3 linked regions of the Rattus norvegicus genome follow. The protein of the gene in region 2 interacts with the protein of the main gene of each other region in a biochemical or structural test. Links are inferred from orthologs where the notes say so. Each region holds a gene or a part of one and is shown on either strand. Other genes may lie near its edges.

What was found. The genes of interacting proteins can lie anywhere in the genome.
Region 1: the proteins of Arfip2 (region 2) and Arf6 form a complex in vitro, tested with the Homo sapiens proteins (2 studies listed by BioGRID). The link is inferred for Rattus norvegicus from reciprocal best matches to the Homo sapiens genes ARFIP2 and ARF6.
Region 3: the proteins of Arfip2 (region 2) and Arf5 form a complex in vitro, tested with the Homo sapiens proteins (2 studies listed by BioGRID). The link is inferred for Rattus norvegicus from reciprocal best matches to the Homo sapiens genes ARFIP2 and ARF5.

The regions. Positions count from the first base shown.
Region 1 is NC_086024.1:93,588,299-93,591,901, forward strand, and holds Arf6 (ADP-ribosylation factor 6), read left to right. Parts: upstream 1-1,478; 5' UTR 1,479-1,630; coding exon 1,631-2,158; 3' UTR 2,159-2,627; downstream 2,628-3,603. UniProt on the Homo sapiens protein: GTP-binding protein involved in protein trafficking that regulates endocytic recycling and cytoskeleton remodeling. GTP-bound form plays an important role in the transport of multiple palmitoylated proteins form the Golgi to the plasma membrane.
Region 2 is NC_086019.1:169,388,934-169,393,922, forward strand, and holds the start of Arfip2 (arfaptin-2), read right to left. Parts: upstream 3,234-4,989; 5' UTR 3,138-3,233; intron 2,375-3,137; 5' UTR 2,333-2,374; coding exon 2,234-2,332; intron 2,020-2,233; coding exon 1,923-2,019; intron 1,247-1,922; coding exon 1,128-1,246; intron 957-1,127; coding exon 735-956; coding exon of another isoform or gene 570-734; exon of another isoform or gene 568-569; intron 202-567; coding exon 44-201; intron 1-43. Other genes in the region: Timm10b (mitochondrial import inner membrane translocase subunit Tim10 B), read left to right, coding at 3,443-3,472, 3,615-3,710, 3,880-4,056. UniProt on the Homo sapiens protein: Plays a role in constitutive metalloproteinase (MMP) secretion from the trans Golgi network. May have important functions during vesicle biogenesis at certain cargo subdomains, which could be predominantly utilized by secreted MMPs, such as MMP7 and MMP2.
Region 3 is NC_086022.1:58,002,590-58,007,246, forward strand, and holds Arf5 (ADP-ribosylation factor 5), read left to right. Parts: upstream 1-1,381; 5' UTR 1,382-1,475; coding exon 1,476-1,542; intron 1,543-2,064; coding exon 2,065-2,145; intron 2,146-2,512; coding exon 2,513-2,622; intron 2,623-2,973; coding exon 2,974-3,045; intron 3,046-3,563; coding exon 3,564-3,689; coding exon of another isoform or gene 3,690-3,801; coding exon 3,802-3,888; 3' UTR 3,889-4,308; downstream 4,309-4,657.

The DNA.
Region 1 (3,603 bases), on a different chromosome or scaffold from region 2:
GCTGTCGTAGTAACTTCCTTGAACTTTTCAGTTTTTTTCCTTCGTGTTTATTTTTGCCCTTATTTACATTTAAAATTTCACTTTACTTTAACCTTACTTAACACTAGTCACTTAATACAAAAATGTTTTCTCAGCCAGCAAGAAGGTAGTACGTAAAAGTGCTGGCCGCCAAGCTTGATGACTTGAGTTTGATACCTTAGACCCATATGAGGAACTGGCTCTGGCAAGTTGTCTTCTGACCTCTCTGTGCACACGCACACTAAATGAAAAAAGTATTTGAAAATAAAAACAAAACTCAAATAGTTTCCTTATGGTGCGTGGAGATCTGAAGTCAATTTGAGGGAGTTGGTTCTCTCCTTCCACCATACGGGTTCTGGGGACTGAACACGGGTCCGCCCTCTCGGCGGCAGGCTTCACGCACACAGCCATCTCGTCGGTCCTGAAAGTCTATTTCCTAAGAAGTGCGGGTGGTTCAGACTTACAAAGAGGACAAGTTTAAACTTTCACAGGCAGGGCTTAGGGGCAAACCCAACACGAGTAAAAGTGCGGGCGACTTTGGCGGATTCTATGGAACACTGGCCTCCCACGTGTCTTTCAGGAAACAGAAGGAAGTCGGGAGGCGTCGGAGTAAAAAGGAGACCCGGGTGCGGAAGGCTGGGGCGAGCGGGAGGAACTTTGCGCAGGGTGTCCGGGAGCAAACCTGGGAAGCCTGGGTGGGGGCGTTGAACACCCAGTGGATTTTTGCCCCGCCTTCCAGTGGCGGAGAAGGGAAAACAGCGGAGACCCTGGGAGAGCGACAGGTGGGCGTACGGCCAGCCCCGCTCCAGCAGGTTCCGCAAGGCGTCCGCGTGAGCCCCCCGAGCCGCCGTAGCCCCACCCCCGGCGCGTGGCGCTCGTGACGCTAGGCGCGCGGGCCACTCTCCTTTCAGAGGTCGCGCTCTTCCGAACGGTCGGGCTGAGGTGCGCGTGCGCAGTCGGGAGGGGAAGTGAGGCGGTTTCCTCGGCGCCTTTTCCGGCAGCGGCGGCAGCAGAACTGGGGAGGAGGAGGTGGAGGCCGGAGGGAACCCGCGCTTGGGGCGGCGGCTGGAGGTAATCTCAAGGGCCGAGCCCGAAAGGCGGGCCGGGTCGGTCTCAGCACCGTCGGAGTCCCGGCGGTAACTCCCTTCTCCCTCTCTGTGTCTCTGCAGGTAGCACCGAGTTCCCGCGAGGATCCATGACCTGACGGGGCGCAGAGCCGCGCTCTTCGTCGGGTGACCAGGGTTGGTGCGGAGCCCGGTGCTCGCAGGCCGGCGGGAGGGCCGCAGTTTGACCTGCCGCGTGCTGAGGCGGCGGAGGAGCTGTCGGCGGCGCTCGCGCGGCGCCTGCGGGGGGAAGGGCAGTTCCGGGCCGGCCGCGCCTCGCCTCAGCAGGGCGGCGGCTCTCCCGGCGCAGACGCAGGGCCCCGGCGGCGGGCGATGCCCGAGTGAGCGCAGGCCGGGCCCCTGCCCCTAGCAGGCAGCTTCGCGCAAGCCGGGCCGCAGGGCGTCCTCGCGGCGGGGCGGCTACTTTTCGGGCTCGCAGCGGCGGCGGCGTTGTAGGCTGAGGGGACCCGGGACACCTGAATGCCCCCGGCCCCGGCTCTTCCGACGCGATGGGGAAGGTGCTATCCAAGATCTTCGGGAACAAGGAAATGCGGATCCTCATGCTGGGCCTGGACGCAGCCGGCAAGACAACGATCCTGTACAAGTTGAAGCTGGGCCAGTCTGTGACCACCATTCCCACGGTGGGTTTCAACGTGGAGACGGTGACTTACAAAAACGTCAAGTTCAACGTGTGGGATGTGGGCGGCCAGGACAAGATCCGGCCGCTCTGGCGGCATTACTACACCGGGACCCAGGGTCTGATCTTCGTGGTAGACTGCGCCGACCGCGACCGCATCGATGAGGCCCGCCAGGAGCTGCACCGCATTATCAATGACCGGGAGATGAGGGACGCCATAATCCTCATCTTCGCCAACAAGCAGGACCTGCCTGATGCCATGAAACCCCATGAGATCCAGGAGAAACTGGGCCTGACCCGGATTCGGGACAGGAACTGGTATGTGCAGCCCTCCTGTGCCACCTCCGGGGACGGACTCTATGAGGGGCTCACATGGTTAACCTCTAACTACAAATCCTAATGAGCGCCCTCCACCCAGCCCCCGGAAGGAGAGAAATCAAAAACCCATTCATAGGATTATCGCCACCATCATCACCTCTTTCAATTGCCACTCTCTTTTTTGAAACTGAACTCGAGTTACTGTTCTACCGTTTAGTGGGGTTGGGGGTTTTCTTTGTTCCCCTTACCCCCCCTCTTCTATTTCCTTTCGGCTTTGCGTTAGGATGCTCTGATCTGACATTTGACACGAATACAGTGCTATATGCTCTTGTGACTTCCAGCAAACGGGGTGGGGTAATAGCAACTCTTGGTAAAGTCCTTTATAATAATGGTTTTGATTTTTTTTTTTTATTTCGAGAGAATCTCCCCCCATGTATGCCTTTTTCCTTTTTGCCCAGTTTCTTATCACTTGCTGTAGATGGCTTATTTTGCATTCATGCAGACTATGTTCCAAGTCTGTTTCATCTAGTAAACTGAAAATTATTGCTTAATCAAACTGCCGTTTGTCTTTTATATTTAAGGCCTTCCCTCCCTTCCTTGTTAGCTCTAACTTTAGCAGTTTCAAATGTGACCTTTTATAGCCAAGACCAGTATGGTGAACTTAGCCCATAGTGGCAAAATGAGTAATACCAGTGTAATGTTCAGTTGCACACCAGTGTGTCAGATAGGTAATGTAAGGAATCCCTTGAAGTCAGCCATTAACGTGCATGAGTAGGAGTAAGGCTCAAGTCCCCTTTGCCATAGCTAACTTTACCGACTAAAACAAGCAGAGCCTGTAAAGGGTACAGGTCCTTCTCCCTGCAAAGTTAGCAACTTTGCTGATTCCCTCTTATGGATAAAAATGCTCTTTCCAGAAAGTGGAGCAATAATGGTGTATGCCACACAGATGAAGTATTTGTAGATACTTTAAAGTGACTTTTGGGCAAAACTGGAACTGTCTTAAGACCAGTAGTTTTAAAATTACTAAACATTTACTTGGCTCACTAATAAAATATTTAAAAAGCCAAATTACATGCACCTTTAACCTAGCTGGAAAAAAAAACCCAACACATTCCTGTTTTCACATTACAGCAACTGATTAGACTGAAGATACGAGACTTTTTTAATAGATGAGTGATTTACATCTCCATTAAGACACTGGAAAAGATGTTTTATTTTAAAAAGGTATTTAGTTTTGCTTGATTGTAGGTTTATTCATGCAGATATCCTGTTGGTTCAGTAGTCTATCTCCTTTAAGGAAGGAAATATGCTGAATGAATGGTGTAGATGTGGACGACAAAGGGGAAGTAGGCAGAGAAAGAACCTACAGATGACAATGAATGTAAATTAACTTTTAAGGGTAAGCATTGTGCTGTCTGGTCATATCCAGGTCTTAAGCTGAGCTGGTTAGGACCAGTAACTAGATTGAGACCACTATAGTAACTTTTTGAACCAAATGTTAATGATTCCGAATTGTGAAGCAGCATC
Region 2 (4,989 bases):
TTTTGACCCATGCCAGCCAACTTCCCAAACCTTGGGCCCACACCTGGCAGCCTCATACTGTTTGACAGTCATGAGTGTGTCTTCCATGGTCTTGGTGACCAGCGTGTTGATGCTAGAGACAAAGAAGTTGACAGCCCCCAGCAGCGTCTCCCCATTCTTGCACAGCAGCTTTTGTGTCTCTGCATTATAGCCAAATTCCTCCTAAGGGCAGAAGGGAGGCGTAGGCATTGAGCAACAGTCCTTACCTGGCTGGAGCTGTAGAGCCCTTCATTTCCCTCCATCCCAAAGAAGAATCAGCCATCAAAACTACAACAACCAGACTGCCTCTAGCAAGGCTCTCTTAGCCACAAAGTTAGTAGGGTCGCCTTGGCGATGCCTGAGGTAAGAGTGTGGGGGTGGGAGGTCTTAGGTGAGTTTACAAGACAGGAACAGAGAAAGCTAGTGCAGCAGGCAGGGAGGGGGTCTGATTAGGCCAAGCACCAAAGGCATTCTGGATGACATGGAGACAGGTTACTTGTGGTGCGCCCTCTCCCACAACCCCTCCAACTTTTGGACCTCAGTACAAACCCTTAGGCTGCCTCCATAGGTGAGTGATGCTGGGGGCAGGACTGGGCGTACCCCAGAGGGGTTCTCCCTGGGGGCTGCAGGAGGGAGGGAGGGAGGGAGGCTGAGGGATGCCTGCCTGGAAGGACCAGGGCCCAGTACCCCCACCCTCTCTGTTTTGGCTGAGGCACCTGAAGCTCTGGGGACTTCTGGCTGAGGTCAGCAAAGGCATCACCTAGTGCATGCTGGGTCTGCAACAGGCTGTAGAGGTGGGCTGTCAGTGCCCGGCCCAGCTGCAGGACACTTTCATACTTGCGCTTCGTCTCACGCAGCAACTCAATCTGCAGCTCTAGCTCCAGATCCACAGTCCGGGAGCCTCGGCCAAATCTCTCTGATAACAGCTGCTTTGTGCACTGATTGGAATGGGGGTGGGGGGATGGAGGTCAGAAATCTAAACTCCACCCCACAAGGAACTACTCCAGCACCCCCATTCTCTTAGTCATAGCAAAGACTGTAGATTAAGACCCAGGGAAAGGGAAAAGGGCCCCATGGAGAGTTTCTGAGAAGAGGTGCTTGAATCTTACCTTATATGTGTTGATGCCCCATTTCTTGACAATGTCAAACTTTTCTCCAGCGATGCCTCGGGCCACCTCATCACCAGGGCCAGAAGGTGAGGTGCTGTGAGACGGATGGCGGCCAGACCCTAAAGGACCAAGTTCTCTGACACTAGTTTCTCTTAGATATAACCAGACACTTCTGTGGCCCACTTCCCTTCCAGCACATGAAATGACCTTGCTGAAGAAGGAAAATCTAGACAGACAACTGCATTCTTCTGCTTACTAGGGGGAACAAGGACTTGTGTCCTGACCACCAAACCAACTCAATGCATGTATCTGGCATTCTTGGGATAGGGTAAGAGTGTTGTTAGTGTACTCAAGAAGAAAGAATAGAAGCTATCGTGATATGTGTGATTGGCAGGATCAAAGATGGTGGGCACAGAAAACAAGGAAGTTGGCTGATATTTCTAGGTAGAATTCTAGTCAGTGTAACAGTCTAAAATGAAAGTCTGAGAAGCCTCACAAAGCTCCAACTTGGCCTTAAGCTCCTGAGTGCTCATAACCTCAAGGTCTTAACTTGGCTCAGGTGGTGGCGGCAGGGAGGAAAAGACAAATGAGATTATCTTAGAGACTAAGTGGCAGGGGGGAAGCAGATGGGCAACTCTGGAGCTGGTCTGGGACTGAACAGGCTATGAACTTCACACTAGCAGTTCTGAAGCTCTTCAGTCACGAGTCAAGCTTTACTGTATGTGTCCTATGTGCCGGCAAGCTGCCTTAACAGCCCCCATCCCCACCCCTCAAGCCTGTCTCTATCACTCATACCTGTGGGGATGAGTCCGTCACCAGAGCCCCCATAGCCACCAGACACAATGCTAGTTTCATTGAGGTTGGGTCCTGACACCATCACCTGCTGGAGGTCCTATAGGTCAGAGAAGAGGGGGCACCTCAGGAACACAGGGATAGATGAAACATTTGGGGATGGAGGCAGTGCACATAAAGTTTATACAGAACCATAAAGATTTGAAAACTAGGAAGGAGTTTAGTTAACTGAAGGCTATTGGGATGGGGGAAAGTAAAAGGTTTATAAGTCAGGACTGCATAATGAGACAATTAGAAGAATCAAACAGAAGCACCTGCTCCAGCCCATCGTCTTCAGGAAGCTGCCCAGCCTCGCCATTTCCGTGGATGGGAATCTCCATTGTGGCTGCCTTCCCTAGAATCCCGTCCGTCATGGCTAGGGAAGGGACAGGAGTCAAGGTCTCCACCCCAGCACGCTGTAAAGCCCAACAAGACAATTCTGGAAACTAGCCAGCACTCCAGAATAAGGAGGCCTCCCCTGTGTTCTCAGAGGTTTCAGGGATTGTCTTAGGGCTTGGGTGTCCTGGGATCAGCCACCACGTCTTTCCTTGAGTATGTGTATCCATTCTCTTCTGAGTACATTATTTCTACAAATGCATGCATACCAAAGCCTCTGGTGTCTTCTCGTAACCCCCAACCTCGCCTTTAGTAACCATTCATGCATTCAGTCATTCAACAAACATTTGGTGAGTTTCTACTATGTGTGAGATACCGAGGCAATGGAATTGCAGCAGTGAGGACCAGAGGGAAGGTCTATGCTCTCTGGGAACTTAACCCTGCATAAGCATGTTTACCAAAACTCTTTCCTAGGCTCAGACGTTCACTTGCCACTCAGGCATGCTCTGCGATCCTGATCTTTCACATCCTTTGGTGTTCCTTCCCCTCTTCCTTCAGATGGTCTGGTCTCTTCCTTTCTCCATCTCATGCACCTGACTCCCTCAGGCCCTCCCCACCAGGCCTTAGTTGAAGCAGTTAGTGAATGTTCCTGGTGTCAGGACACCAGGACACAGGCAATCCCTTCCAAAGTCAGTTGAAGCCTTCCAGATGTGAGAGGCACCCCCCACCCCCATACACCTGGGCATCAGGTGTGTCCTCATCCTTGCCAAGGGCTCAGGGCATGTTGCCCTCAGTACAGGTTCGTGCGTTCAACTTCCCTTCGTCCAAGTACGTCCTTCTCACCTGGGCCGGGCCGCTCTTCCCCTCAGGGCGCGAGGCCCGGACCGCGCGGGGACCTCGGGTTCCAGTTCCCGTCGCGATCCTAGCAGCAGGTCAGAGATTTGGCGGAAGTGACATGCTCTCTGGGCAGAAGAAGCCGGCCACGTCGCAGAGAAAAAGGGCGGAGGTGACGTTTACAGTTGTGGGCAGGGCGAGCCTGGAGCTACGCCTTCAAGCTCTTGGGGGAGTACCGAGAGTTTACTTCCGGGGCGACTCCGAGAGCCACCCCCTCCGGACGGAAGTGGCGTACGCCATGCGCCCTGGGCGTGATGGAGCACCAGCAGCAGCAACTGAGAAACGTGAGTGAGAGCTAAGTTGCTCTCTGGGTTAGACGCGCAGTTTGTTTCCAGGGGTACACGCAAGAACCCCCAGAGGGGGAGGCGGGCTGCGCGCCCCAGGAAGCCTCGGCGGTGGTGAAGTCTTGGTTCCTTTTTCTCTCAGTTGCGAGACTTTCTGTTGGTCTACAATCGGATGACAGAACTGTGCTTCCAGCGCTGTGTGCCCAGCCTGCACCACCGAGCTCTGGACGCTGAGGAGGTGGAGACTGTGGGGGGTCCCAGAGTTGACAATAACGTGATGTGACTTACCCCCTCCCCCCACTTCCCCTCTCTTTCATGACCTCATTCCTAGGCTGGGGACCGGGAAGGATGGAGGAGGGCTTGACAGGACCCCTTTTAGTTTCTACTTCCATCTGTCTTCCTTCCAGGAGGCCTGCCTGCACAGCTGTGCTGGGAAGCTCATCCATTCTAACCACCGCCTCATGGCCGCTTACGTGCACCTCATGCCCGCCCTGGTCCAGCGCCGCATGGCGGACTACGAGGCTGCCTCTGCCGTGCCAGGTGTTCCTGCAGAACAGCCCAGAGACTCGCCATCAGGCAGCTAGCTAGCTGTCCCTGACCGCAGGAGAGAAGGTGCTTGGATAGGCTCCTCTATGGACCTTGGGCTTGTCTAAATATGTACAGAGAGACTGAGCTTGAAAGCTGGGTGCTCTTGCTCCTTTTCTTGGAGCCAATAAACCCGTTTTTGTATTCTGGTTAATTTACTTGGCAAGAACTTTTCTTTATTGGTACCATCCTTTATTCTGTCATCTACTGCCTGTCTAGTGCCTTTAGCCTTGGCAGTTGATGTATTACCTTCTTGTATGTAGAAGGACAAATTTAGCATTCCCAGCACCCCAGCAAAAGCAAGGATTATGGCTACAGTTTGAAGGTTGGTAATAACAATGGGAAATTGGTTCCAAAAGGAGAGTTCTCTGTGCCTGTCCTAGGGTCTAACTCAAGTACCTGAATATACATTGGCTCTTAACTAGTTTTTATTCTCAGCTGTCAGACAAAAGAATTGCTGTAGATCTAGGGGAAGAAGGTAATATCAAACAACAAAAGCAGGAAGAAAACAGTGCCCCCTTAGGTTTTAGTCACTGCTTCCTAGGAGATCAGTGACAACAGAACAAAGACAAGCCTCTAAGAATTTAGGAATGTTGACCATTTCCCCAATTTACTCTCTTAGTATTTCCTGCTTTTGTGAAATTAGAAATAAAGACTTTAAACAAAGAAGGACTTTCTTGTCTTCAGTCAGTCAGGAAGACAACATTAGTCAAACCTCAAGAGAAACCTGAGGGAAAGGGAGATGGTATTAGGGAGAGATGGTTAAATACCATCTGTGACCCTCCACCCGGTGCTTCCTCAGTGTTTCACTGCCTGTCTAGTCCCCTAGTTTCAGTTCTCTACCTTCCAGTACTCTAACTACCCTGTTGCCAGCTTCTCTATTCTTGTTTCATTATTCCCCCACCCCCTTTTGTGGGATTCACGTCTATACT
Region 3 (4,657 bases), on a different chromosome or scaffold from region 2:
ATAAGGTCCATCTTGCATACCAGCATATGCTGGGGTGGGGGCTGTCTCACAAGAGTTTTTGCTATTTAGTCTTTGCAAAATTCTGTTCAGAGGGTATCATTAGCACCAATTTACATTTACTGGAACATACAGTAAATGTACAGAGGGGTAACATGCCCAATGTCACTCAGCTAGTAAGTTTAGGAATCCTATCTCAGTCTGCCTCTCACCATACTAAATGCTATGCCTGATGGCACCATTGAAGAAACATGGCCTTGGTCCCGAGAAACTCCTAACAGCAAGGACATGCAAACAAGTAGATGCTGCCCTCACACTAGTATAGTATGTAAGGGTATAGTTGAAGGGTATAAAAGAGGCGAGGCACCTGTCAGAAGGACAGAGACTCTTAGGGGAAATGACTTGAAGTTTGAGGAATGAGTAAAGACTGCCAAACTGCAAATGTGGGAAACCAGCATCAAGAAAAGCGGAAACGTTTACAGGAACCTCTGAGGTATCTATCAGTGAGCCTGACTTGCCCAGGAAGCTTATGGTGTGGGAGGTGGGTGGCTATTGATGAATCTGGAACAAAGGGTAGGACCCAACTTAAAGGCATTTAGATTTCATCTTGGGTGACAAGACATTAAAAGATTTTCATCTCCGGAGGGCACCATCAAGACTCTTTGCTTTTGTCCATTCCATCAAGACTCCTGTGGGGTTTTTAAGATGGTTCAGCAGTAAAGACGATTTTCACCAGGCCCAGTGACCTGACCTAAGTTCTATCACCAGGACCCACACGGTGGAAGGAGAGAACACACCCCTACAAGTTGTTCTCTGAGCTCTACACACCTCCACACACGAACACAACATAAAAGTGGGGAGGGGCTAAAAACAAAGAAGACTCCTGTGATATTATGAAGATACCAAGCCTGTGAGGAGGCTCACTCTGAAAGAGAGAGAGAGAGAGAGAGAGAGAGAGAGAGAGAGAGAACGCGTTTGAAGAAAATATTTCTGTAATAAAAATCTGCTCAGGAGGCCAAGCCGGCCGCATCTCTGTGAGTTCGTGACCAGGTTGGTCTACATAGCAAGTTCCAGACCACCCAAGGCTACATAGTGTTTCAAAACAATAGACAATATGCTACTTTGAGGATCTTTTACATGTTCGTGTGGACCCTATCAAAGCCGTCTTACGAGTGCAAGTCTATGACTTAAGAGTAAAGCAAAGTCATGCGGAGACTAGCGACCCCGAACAAGCCCTCCGCCCCAGGCAGGCTGCCAGGCCTCGCTCGACTTCAGTTCTTCCGCAAACGCGCCTAGGGGCGGGGCTGGGGCGGACCCGGAGGGGCGGGGCCACGTGACGTCGGGCGGACCCGGACGCGCGGAGGTGGCGGCGGCGGCGGCGCCTCCTCCTTCTGCTGTTGCGCCCCATCCCCCCGCGGCCGGCCGGTTCCAGCCCTCGCCCCGCGTCCCCTGCCCGCGCCCCCGCCCCGGGCCCCGCCATGGGCCTCACGGTGTCCGCGCTCTTTTCGCGGATCTTCGGGAAGAAGCAGATGCGGATCCTTATGGGTGAGGCAGATCGAGCGCGCGGCCCGCTTGGGGCGCCGGCCCCGCCGCAGCCCTCCCGCCCCCGCGTCCCTCCAGCCCGCTCACCTGGTCCCCTGACCCCGAGACACCCCACCGCCCAAGCCTCTGAGGCCGCGCTCCCGAGCAAGCCAGGATCTGCAGTGTCGGCCCCGGGCCTGAAACCCGGAGCTGGGGCCTGGGTGGGGTGACGCTTCCTCCGCCCCAGCCCGGCTGCTAAGAAGAGAGGATTCCGCCCTTGGAAACGACTTTTCAAAGGAACGCGGCCTTCCTCCCGGGTCCCCTACCTCCCTAGCCCCTGTCGCCCCTCGGGCACTTGAGGGGCAGGAGTTGGCACTCGCCACCTAGACTGCCCTCAAGGCCCGGAAGGTGGAGAACAGCGCGCACCTGGAGGCGCTCCCGCTCTCCGCCCCCATCACCATCAGCTGGCCAGGCCTCTCCCTTTCCCTGGTCTCTAGGGGGCTCTCTCGCTCCCGTCTCCATTCTTTGCCCCTCTCTCCGTTGCAGTTGGCTTGGATGCGGCTGGCAAGACTACCATCCTGTACAAACTGAAGTTGGGGGAGATTGTCACCACCATCCCCACCATAGGTGAGTCCGGGAACAAGGCAGGGGGCCGCAGGAATGTCGCTTTGGGCCTTGTCGGGGTCTGCTCCCACTTCTGCCGAGGCCCTTATCTGTTCCTGACCCTGACACCAGATACAGCTACTTGAGAAATGGGTCACCATATCTCTAAGCGCCTGATGGTGCCTGAGGCGTGGACCATGAGCCTAGCATATCTGTTGACCTCCGATCCTCTGGATTCAATTCCCCTTGGCCTTGGTGGTCATTGTCATCTGGGTTTATGTGCTTTGAAGAGATCCGAGTGGTTTTAATGAGTTCCTTTCAGGACCTTTTTTTTTTTTTTTTCCTTCTCTCCCCTCCAAAAAAAAAAAAAAAAAAAAAAAAAATTCTGCAGGCTTCAATGTGGAAACAGTGGAATATAAGAACATCTGTTTCACAGTCTGGGATGTCGGAGGCCAGGATAAGATTCGGCCTTTGTGGCGGCACTACTTCCAGAACACTCAGGTGGAGTTGGGTTGGAAGGTGGCGGGGGGAGGCAGTCCCTGGGAGTGGGTGTTAGACCAGGACTGAGTTGCTGGCTGCTCCCTTGACTGTCATCACTCTCACCTTTGCTAAGCTTAAGAACTCACCCCCATCTTAGTCTGGGAAGCAGAAGTTCTAAGGCCACGCCGTCTACCGTAGATCTCAACTACACATCTTTTAGCTGGCTCCCTCAGTGGTCCCTGCAAACCCTTACTGTACATTTGCCAGATGAGAAGGGCTGATACAACTCAAGAAGGAAGAAGTGAGACCAGGCCAGGTAAGGATGGGACCTAGGTAGGAGTGATCCCTTCTGCTTCCTTCCTTCCCACCCAGGGCCTCATCTTTGTGGTGGACAGCAATGACCGGGAGCGGGTCCAGGAGTCTGCTGATGAACTCCAGAAGATGGTAAATACCCAGCTCTGGGAACTGGGCCCTTGGCTTTCAGACAGGGAGGCCTCTGGGGTAGTCTGGAAGTCCAGGACACTAAGGGCAGGAAGTTTTCCTTCGTGGTACCAGATAAGTATTAGCTCATCCAGTAGACAAGACCCTTTTTTTTTCTTTTTAAATCCTTTCCCATCTGAGCCTAAGGGGTTGGGAGAAAGAGAGAGAGGTTATCTATGCTACAGAGAAACAACATCATACATTACTTGTTTTGTTTGTTGTTTTCTGTTGTCATTTTTGTCATTTTTTTGTTTAGAACAAGCTCTTAAAATAGGATTGTTTTTTTTTCCTTGAGGTAAAGTTGAAAGGTGTTGAGCTCGTTTATAACTGTCTTGTGTTCAGTGGTGAACTACACAGTACACTGTATTTTTCCTACAAAGAATCTGGAAGTTTGAAAGGGGTGCTCTCCCCAACAGTGCAGTCAGCAGGGAGCCTAGGGAGCCTTGCAAGCACAGGTCCCCATCTCCCCCTCCTCCCCTCAGCTGCAGGAGGATGAGCTTCGGGATGCGGTGCTGTTGGTGTTTGCCAACAAGCAGGACATGCCCAATGCCATGCCTGTGAGCGAACTGACTGACAAGCTGGGGCTTCAACACTTGCGTAGCCGCACGGTAAGGATCATGTCCCTTTGGCACTGGGCTCCAGGCTTTCCTGGGGAGCCCGACTGGACAGGGGAATCCCTTTCCTTCCCTGAGGCTGATTTCCTTCTCTTTCTTCCTACAGTGGTACGTCCAGGCCACCTGTGCCACCCAAGGCACAGGCCTGTATGATGGTCTGGACTGGCTGTCCCATGAGCTATCAAAGCGCTAGCCAGCCAGGGGCAGGCCCCTGCTGCCCGGAAGCTCCCGCGTGCATCCCGGGATGGCCAGACTCCCGGACTCCTCAGGCAGTGCCCTTCCTTCCCACTTTTCCTCCCCACAGACAGGCCTCTGCTCCTGTGCCTGCCTGCATGCTCTCTCTTGTTGTTGGAGCCTGGAGCCTTGCTCTCTGGGCACAGAGGGTTCTGCTCTCCTGCCTGCTGGGACCTGTGGAAGGGCTTCCTGGCCAAGGCCCCCTCTTCCAGGGGAGGAGCAGGGATCTGGATTTAATTTCGTTTTGGTTTTGGTTTTTTTGGTTTTTTTCTGTTTTGGGTGTACCCTTGGGGCCAGGTTTGGGGGGAGGAAAGTGAGGGCTCCGGGTGGTGCTATGATGTGGGACTGGATATTGAGTAATAAATTTGCTGTGGTTTGTACCCGGTGTTGTCTATCGCCTGGAAGTTGGGAAGCTGAGTTACTGTGGGCACAGAAAGATAATATGGGAGAGACTGAGAGCAGCTGAAGCCCAGAAGGCAATATGCACTGCCCTTTCTTCCTCAGCTTCCCCTGTAGTGCTTCTAGCTGGGGAAAAAATTCCATTTCTTCCTCAATTCCAGGATGGTTGATTAAGGGTATGAATACCTTTCTCATTCCAAAAACCACAGTCTGTTCCCTATCTCTTACCTAGCTACTACTTACATATCATACTTAATGTTTGTACTTATCATAGCTTTGTACATGGAGGAGAAATGGACATTAAAAAGATAGGTCCCCCAAGACACACA